Linked DNA regions of Caenorhabditis elegans. The protein of the gene in region 1 interacts with the protein of each later gene in a pairwise test. Each region holds a gene or a part of one and is shown on either strand. Other genes may lie near its edges.

Region 1 (4,154 bases):
AGTTTTTCTATATTATAATTTTGGAAGTAGAAAAAATGTTACATTTACCAGTTTCATTTTTTAGTTCCGTTTCAAAGAAAAAAATTTAAATAGTTTGGACCTACAAATATGCTTGAAATAACTCAAAAATACGCATTTTTGGCCAATTTTGGCAATTTACTAATGTGCGGCCATGTTAGACTACTTGGAGTTTATTGAGACTAAATCTCCAGTGGCAATATTAAATCTGTAACACGTTTTTTCATTTAATTGAAATATGCAAGTTCTTCAAAACGTAGGTTTTAAAAGTATTTATTTACAATAAGTAAAAAGATTTAAATGTTTAATTTTCATAGAAAATAATGCTCTATAACGGCTATCTATTATATATATAGTGAATAGTGCAGTGAAGGAGAATATGAAAATTCACCTATTAGCTGAGTATCAACTCACAACGTGGGTACGAAAAAAACTTTGTAGTTTTTACTTTTCGGAGTATATAGGTAATTGTTTAACTACTGCCAATAAATATGAGTACAACTTCTATATTACTCCACATAGAAACCCCAATAGATCATTAATTGATCGACTATCAACTTTCAATCAGGCCATTTTCGAAAATTTTTCTCATTTTGAGAACTTATGTGCAGGAGACACCTTCTGTTCATAGAACACAATGGAAATCAATCGGTTTTTTCATAACAGTTGCCGTTGTAGTTTCTTCTCTTTTTTCTATCTTTTTTGCAACTTCCACATGAAAATTGCATTACGCACTGTGTCTGTTTATTCAGGCTTAGTTTCAATTTTAAACTGTTTGCAATAGACTTTAATGTAATTGCTAGGTTTAAAAGCCATTGACAACTAAAATTGTTTTCTAAATTGAACATAACTTGTAAATTGTCTCGTTCAAACCACCACCGCAAGTTAGCCAACTTTTCTTGTTCTGAGGCTAGATGGCATATCGGTAGATACTATCAGTGTCACAATTTGCCGGTCAAAAAACCGATAACGAAATAGCGGAGATCTTTTAGAAACTGCAGACAGACTGGGGAGTAATGGACGATAAAATAGAAGATAGGCTAGTTGGAAGGCGCATTTCTCATCAGAATCGTGTACTTTGTGTGTAACTCATTCTCATTTTTGTCCAAGTTCTAATAAGTTATCTTATTACATTTGAATTTCCACGCCTGATCGTTCACTTTTCTGGAAACTCATCGCTCCCACTTTCGAAAATCGTATTTTTACTATGAATTTTTCAAGTTCTACGATTTTAAAGGGAGGAGCATTTATGCGGATTGGTCTCGCCACGCGCCAGCCATTGATTGAGAAAAATATATCAATAGACGGCTCTTGGCGAGACCATTCCGCATAACTGCTTCCCACTTTAAAATCGTAGAATTGGAAAAGAAATACACAGTATTCATCAAACAATCAGCCATTATTAATATATTATTCAAAATATTATTCAAAATAGCATTCACTAATTTGTGTTTGAAGGAGGTACTTCCACATTTAGAAACTTGCAAATTTTATTCTTGGTTTTTTTAAACGTTCATGTTTTTTAAGATAGCAACGGTGTTTTAAAAACTTTCCGCTTCTGTCAGCAAAGATTTATGATCGATAAAATCTTAAAACACGTTGCAACGACACTCCGATATCCCATGCGATCGTTGTTTATCAAAAATGTCTTTCGGCCGGAATTTCAAATTACAACGTGGATTTCGTGGAAATGTATTGTCCTAAAACACAAAATATCTTGGCTTTACAGCGTTATTCGTGTTCAAAAAAGCACGAAAACGGTTTTTTCGCACTCTTTCTTTGCCAATCTTCTTATTTGTTTTCTCTTATGTCTATTTACTCGTTCAAAACTCGCCTTTTTCTCACTTTTCATTTTCTAATTGTCTATCTGCAGGTAATCCCATCTCCTCACGTCACGGAAATGTCTCCTCTGCCAGAAAACACCCTCATCGGAATGTGCAATCCATTGTTGGACATTCAAACCACCGTTGAAAAGGTAAGTTTTTGATTTCTCTAGAAATCTAGAAGCACATTCAAAAATATTTCATTTTAATTGCTGAAATCTACAGGCATTCCTTGACAAATGGGGACTCAAAGAAAACGACGCCATTCTTTGCGACGACAAGCACAATGACATGTTCACCGAGCTTACCAGAGATTTCAAAGTCGAGTACATTCCAGGAGGAGCCGCACAGAATTCGCTCCGTGTTGCTCAATGGATTTTGAACGCACCAAACCGAACAGTTTTCTTTGGAGCTGTTGGTAAAGATCAGTACGGAGATCTTTTGGCATCGAAAGCCAAAGAAGCTGGAGTGAATGTGCATTATCAGATCAACGAGACAGTTAAGACCGGTACCTGCGCAGCCCTCATCAACGGAACTCATAGGTAAGCGGATCATTGTTTGACGGACAGAAAAATCATCGTTGCCGTGTTGAAATGATTTCAGATCACTCTGTGCTCATTTGGCTGCTGCTAACACCTTCACTCAAGATCATCTCCAGAAGGAGGAGAATCAGAAGATCATCGAGCAGGCCAAATATTTCTATGTCACTGTAAGTTATCGAATTGATTTACAAATAAGCACAAAAGTATTCTCAATGTAAAATTTTCAGGGATTCTTCATCACTGTCTGCCCACCAGCTATTCTCCAACTCGCAAGCCACTCTGCCGAATTCAACAAGACTTTCACCCTTAACCTCTCCGCCCCGTTCATCTCCCAATTTTTCTTCGATAAGCTCTCGGAAATCATTCCATTGGTCGATGTTCTTTTCGGAAACGAAGACGAAGCTGCTGCCTTTGCTAAAGCCAATGGATGGGAGACCACCTGTGTCAAGGAGATCGCTTTGAAGGCTGCTGCACTTCCAAAGAAATCTACTAAGCCAAGACTCGTTGTTTTCACTCAAGGACCAGAGCCAGTCATCGTCGTGGAAGGAGATAAGGTGAGAGTTTTTGATAATTTTTGAATTTATTGTTTTCAATTTTAATCTACAGGTCACCGAATTCCCAGTAACTCGTCTTCCAAAGGAAGAAATCGTCGATACCAACGGTGCCGGAGACGCTTTTGTCGGAGGTTTCCTTTCTCAATTCATCCAAGGAAAGGGAGTCGAAGCTTCAGTCACCTGTGGATCTTATGCTGCTCAAGAAATCATCAAGAAGCACGGATGCACAGTGCCATCTGTTTGCAAGTACCATTAAACTGATAAAATAATCTGTGATCCCAACTTTCTCTGCTTTCAATTTCCCAGTCCCCTGGTTTATAGTATATCAAATTGTTCTTTGTTTTGCTCCCCATTCCCCGTCCTCGAGCATCCCTATTATTCGAAATTTTTCTTTTGGTGTTGTTTTTTTTGTCAAATGTTCCCAAAATGTGCCTTATAATTCATTTATCAGGTGTTTTAATAAAATGGCAAAGTTTTATTCTTCATCCATGTCGATTTGAATTGGAATCTTCTTCCCCTTTTCGACAAAGCCAATCAGATCCAGAACCAGAACGACACTGCCACGGCTGAAATAAAGTTTGTTGCATATTTATCAGGACTAGAGGAATATGATTACTTACAGTTTTGGTAAATTGTAAAACTGTTAGTGATCAACGTCACTTTTCCGAACACGTCGAAGTTTCTGTACGCCGTTCTTATCAAGGAAAGCAAAAAGAACATTAGTTGATTTGATCAGTTGTTCCGCTGGTAGACCTTCGTAGTTCTCATGAAGGACATTGATTAGAATGCTCTTCACATGAGCAGACAATACACTGTCAATGAAAGCAATCGGTCTGGAACTTACTTATCAATTGCTCATTCTGAAAACGAATCAAACCTGAGTTTATCTCGGATGATTGGTCTCTCGATGACAACTACTTTGACATTTACACATCCGTTTTCATCCTGAAATTTAAATATGATTCTTTGTTCTATCTCAAATAGTAAAGAAATATTTCCAACTTACCAAAGATCCTACGTTCTTGAACTTTCTATGTGGAACCTTTGAAGAACGGCTACTTTTTCGAGATTTCTTCGATGATTTTTTCGATGTGTCCGATTTCGTCGGTTCAGAATCATAGCAAGTTGTAGATGTTGGAGCGGAAGAAGAAGCAGTAACTGAAGAGCTTCTTGATTCAGACACTTCACTGAAACTTGAAATCAAATTATTTTTCACC
Region 2 (5,094 bases), on another chromosome or scaffold:
CACCGTCAAAAGGAATCGCTGAAATTGCATGTGCATTCTCTCCGAAGAAGGCAGTTGCCACTGGTGACTATCATTCCGAAGATCCCAAACATCTTTATGTGACACGTGGCGATCATTTATTGATTGTGGAAGATGTTGATGACTACTATTACAAGGGAAAATTGGAAGCTTTCAAGACTTTGCCAGCGGGTATTCTGCCAAAGAATATTGTCAAATTGGAAAATTGATTCTGGTCTTGATTATTTCTCACTAAATTCACTTTCTAGCTTTATATGTGCCAGTTTTTTGTATTTTCTAATATGTCATTTATTTACAAAATTCAAATTTTCCCCGATGCGTGTTTTGTGCCGATTGTCAAATTTTCTAGAAATGTATTTTCAATAAATTGCCTTATCAAGTGTGGGCCTAGCGTTTCCAATTAACGTTTGTAGATCAATTTCAAATAGCTCATTTCTCTGCGTTACTATAATAGTTATTTTGTGAACTTCCAAAACTTCAGAAAAATGTTAAAGTAAATTTATTGAGGAGAATAATGAATTTGAAGAATTTGTTACAATATGATGAACGTAATATTATGTAGGTTCGATTATTCAAATATTTATACGACACATTCAATTTTAGTAGACGAGAAAAATCGGCTTGGTGCATCCAAATATTCTGTAGTGTTTCCTGATTTATCTGCAGAGTATCCACAAATAGAGAATACTTTTGGAGAACCGAGTGATACATCTAGATATTTTTGAGACTTCTTCGGGCGATAGCAGCACAGAATACAGTTGAAGATAATGAGCAGGAGCACGAAAAATGCAAGAGAGGAGTAGATGATTATGCTGAAAAATTATTATAATTTTAGAATTATTGGGAATGTAAAAACTTACTCGTCACTTATTTTGAAATCAAATTTCAAAACTTGAGTTTGGTATCCAGGTGTTGAAGTTTGAATATCAGATTTTGGAGCAAAAGTCCGTGAACGACGATCACAAATTGGACCGAAATATCCATTTTCACAATAAAAAGTTGAACGAACCGAAAGAATAACCTTATCAGTATCGATAACTTTTGAATCCCAAAGTCCATTATTTTTCAATTGGAAAATTTGAAATTTAGCCTCTGATAATGCTTTACCAGAGAAATGATGAAGTAGTTGGAAATGAACTGGAATCTCATTAATAGAACCTTGAGTATAGATTTCCAATGGTCGGGATTCGTATGCTAGAAGGCGCACTGTTTCAGAATATGTTGAAGAATGTTCCAAATGAAGGAGACAGTCTCTGTCGGCTGTTAACTCAAATTTGAGAAATCCAGCGGACTCGGTGTTTGGGAAGACGAAGAAAAGAATAGCAGCGAAAAAGATATATCTCAACATTATTAAATGAATAATGACTAATTGTTCAGAACTCGGAGTTCTTATATACCAATTCTAGAACCACTAGACCACGCCCCTTTATGCAAATTTGTCATTGTGATGATTATTCACATCTTCTCATGCTAACTGGATACTTAGCAAATGATTGTCATCATATCGGATATCTTAAGATCTTAGCTTCTTGAACAAAGGAATTATCTATGCCACTGTATACTGTATACTTTTTTGTATACTTGGGAGTATACTTTGCACATTGTCTTTTGGTTTGCCGACGAAACAAAATTGAGATAGTATGTCAAGGAGCTCGAATTCAAATGAAAAATCACACCGAATGAAACTATTGAATCAGAAAGAGGGTCCCCTATAAAACCAGAATTTAAACCACCTCCGTTTTTAGCACGAGGACTAACTTCGCTGGCATAACAACTGCAAAAAGTTCAATAGCGCGCGCTTGTGGAAAGTTCGTCCCCGAAGTATTTATTTATTTTTCTGGCTTAGGAATTTTGTTTATTTTTTCATTTTTCGAAGTTTTTGACTCATGTTCTGTTAAATTATATTTAACCTATTTGAAATATTAATTCTCTCAATTTTATATGGCAGCCAATGAAGACAGAGATGATGCAGCTGCAATTCTCAACTGGGAAGGGACTGTTAGTTTTCTAAAAATAAATTTTTCACAATTCTATTCATTTTTTTTTTATTTCAGAGCGAAATCAAAAGTGCAAATGAATACAGTAGGAATCTTCTTTTCTCAGTGCTCGACTCCTTAGACGGGAATAAAACAATTGTTTGGGATCGGGATAGGAGTGTAATGCACAGAGTTAATCTGGTTAGTAGAAAATATATTTTAAAGTACATAAAATTGAAAAAAAAGTTTTAATTTCAGTTTGCCGGTGCATCAGTTCTTGCTGCCCATGGAGTTGTTGCAAATCATTCAATCGAAACCAAAAAGTCCGCCTCCACTCCACACGTCGTTTTCTTTTTGGCTCCGACAATGGTTTCACTGGATTTACTATGTGATTATATTGATAACGTGCGGAATGACTCGGTAAGAAAAGAAAAAATTCTAACAATTTTACACTAAAATGTTCAGAAAATCCTGTACCAAGTGTTCTTCATTCCCGAGGCGTGGTTTGTCGTTCGAGAAAGTCTGAAAACGAGGGCAGAAGGAAAAGTATTGTTTGACAAAAGTTTATTATAATCAATTAAATATCTTTCAGTATTGGGAACGTTTGGAATCGGTAAAAGAAATTCCATTGTGCTGGTTGCCACGAGACGGCGAATGTCTATCACTCTCCAGTCCTCAAATAGCTGCAAGGTATTTTTTAGCTGATTAAATTATTTAAAAACGTCTTATTAATACAGATATTTTCAAAAAAATCATTTCTAAAACGTAATTTAATATTTCCAGACTTCTGATAAACGGAGATTGGACCCATCTACATAAATGCGCTGTTGCATTAAATCAACTAATTGATATGTGTCGTGGACGTTCTTCATCATCAAATCAACGTCCAATGTCAATATATGCAAAAGGAAAATGGGCTTCAGACGTTGCCAAAATGATGGGAAAAATTAGAAATTCTGCTGAAGCGGATAGTATGACGAAAAATCTGGATCCAATTGAAGGTCTTCTCAAAATTAATCGAATCGTTCTAATCGATCGATGGATGGATCCACTCACACCAATGCTCTCTCAGCTGACATTTTATGGACTTCTTGATGAGATTTATGGAATTGGAATGGTGAATTCTGTAAAAGTGCCAGAAATGGAATTTAAAAACGAAAAAGATGGAGATCCGTTTCAAGAAAAAGAAGTTTATTTGATTGATGAGGTGTATCATAGACTGAAACATTCCCATATTAATGCTGTCAGTATTGAAGCATCAAAAGTTTTGGCTGAAATTAGAGATGACGAACAGGTTGGTTATTAACACTGATCACAAAATATTTATTTTTAAATTTCAGTTCGATCGAGATAAGATGTCAGTTGCTGAATATTCGGTTTTAGTCAAGAAAATGCCAAAAATTATTAATCGAAAAAAGATGATTGAAGTGCACATGCGACTTGCCGAAATGATTCAATCACATGTGTACTGTAAGCAGTCGGATTCGATTAAATTGGAACGAGGTTCAAAATTCTAATTATTTTTCTGTAAGTATTTATTATATTTCAGATCTCCTTGAATATTCTGACAGCGATAAAGCGATTCCACTAATCGAAGATCTCATCTTTGATGCTTCTCCATTGAATGCTGTTCTTCGCCTCATTTCAGTTCATTCTCTGACATGTGGTGGCCTGAAACCATCAGTTCTCCAACACTATCGTCGAATTGTCAATCAAAGTTATGGATCTTCAGCTTTGAATAAAGTTCTGAAAATGCAGAAAATGGGATTGATTCGTGAAAAAGGAGGTGGCGGAAAGATGCAATGTGAATATGCTCAAATGATGTTCCAACAAATGAAGAAAAATCACGATATGTTGCCAGAAGAGTTCAGTGAAGCAAAACTTGATGATATGGCCTACGCCTACAGTGGATTCTCACCACTTTTATGTAAAATGCTTGAAGAAGGAGATCGAGTGAAATGGGTCGGCTGGCCAAAAACTGTAATTGGAGATAAATCAGATTTGATTGCTGAAAGAGATGGCAGAGGGACCTGTGTGTTCGTTATTGGAGGACTAACACGATCGGAATTGGCAATTATTCGAGAAAATCTTCCGAATGTTGCACTTATCACTACAAGTGCATTGATAACTGGCGATAAGCTTCTGAATAATATTACCAATATTTAAAAATGATTTCAATGTATATCGTTTACCCAAAATCGCGATTTTTCCTCACTATCATATGTTTAATTCCCAATTCCACTCTGTGCCTTATCCAACTGGCCCTACCAAATTCAATTATTGCCTGTGATTTCATTTCTTGTGAGTATACGTTGTATTTTAATGTTTTAAAGTTGAAAATAGAGAGCTGTTTATTGAATTCATAAAACTTATTTACATTATCATAATCATCATCACCGTGAACAATAACAATCACGAAATCAATCGTCGTCCGACTCGCCCGTAGAGAAACAATTTGAAATGCGACTAATTAATTGAGAATTACGGGAATTTCAAACGAAGAGCACTCATCGAGACTTGATTTCCACGTACAAGGCATGTCGGGGGTGTCTGACGGGAGAGCATATCGATCCATCCGAGATAAATTGGTGATGGGATTTCAGGACGAGCTGATGGAAGAGTACTGTAACTATGAATATGAAAAATTGAAAACAAATCAAATCTCACCAAACAATCAGATCAGCATCTGAACTGTGTTCTCGAATAAGTTCCGATGCACGCAAGAAGCTTCTAGTCTTCTCTCGCAAATTGAATATTTGATTCTGAAAATTCAAAATTCTGAGTAACGCATGTGCTCTAATATAGATAAACTCACATTATCAAATGATCCGTCTACAGGCTCACCACTGCTGCTGGTTTCCACCTTGTATTTGTCAATTTTTGCTCGGAATTCATCGTATCTATAGACATTTTTAACACTTTAAAATCTAGGAAGATCTTGAAACTAACGTCTGTTTGCACGGAGGTTTCGAAAATTCTGGAAGAATATGAAGATCTGAAGAGTCGATATGGAACTTTCGAAGAATTGCAGCCATGTTCTTTTGTTCCTCGTTTATCTGAAAATTATCCGCTACAGTAATCCGAAGTAAGCTTGATTCCA

Evidence for each region.
Region 2: the proteins of adk-1 (region 1) and vps-33.1 interact in a two-hybrid assay, tested with the Caenorhabditis elegans proteins (one large-scale study listed by BioGRID).

What each region holds. Positions count from the first base shown.
Region 1 is NC_003282.8:11,208,569-11,212,722, reverse strand, and holds adk-1 (Adenosine kinase), read left to right. Parts: upstream 1-1,891; 5' UTR 1,892-1,918; coding exon 1,919-1,993; intron 1,994-2,066; coding exon 2,067-2,383; intron 2,384-2,444; coding exon 2,445-2,550; intron 2,551-2,610; coding exon 2,611-2,937; intron 2,938-2,989; coding exon 2,990-3,193; 3' UTR 3,194-3,414; downstream 3,415-4,154. Other genes in the region: R07H5.9 (Kinesin motor domain-containing protein), read right to left, coding at 3,581-3,770, 3,815-3,882, 3,944-4,124.
Region 2 is NC_003281.10:8,698,968-8,704,061, forward strand, and holds vps-33.1 (Vacuolar protein sorting-associated protein 33A), read left to right. Parts: upstream 1-1,959; coding exon 1,960-2,016; intron 2,017-2,072; coding exon 2,073-2,195; intron 2,196-2,252; coding exon 2,253-2,414; intron 2,415-2,459; coding exon 2,460-2,540; intron 2,541-2,586; coding exon 2,587-2,684; intron 2,685-2,777; coding exon 2,778-3,288; intron 3,289-3,334; coding exon 3,335-3,497; intron 3,498-3,543; coding exon 3,544-4,160; 3' UTR 4,161-4,374; downstream 4,375-5,094. Other genes in the region: B0303.7 (SH3 domain-containing protein), read left to right, coding at 1-227; sdz-1 (Skn-1 dependent zygotic transcript 1 protein), read right to left, coding at 599-830, 879-1,366; Solute carrier family 12 protein B0303.11, read right to left, coding at 4,476-4,617, 4,662-4,756, 4,810-4,894, 4,944-5,050. UniProt on the Caenorhabditis elegans protein: Plays a role in vesicle-mediated protein trafficking to lysosomal compartments including the endocytic membrane transport pathways.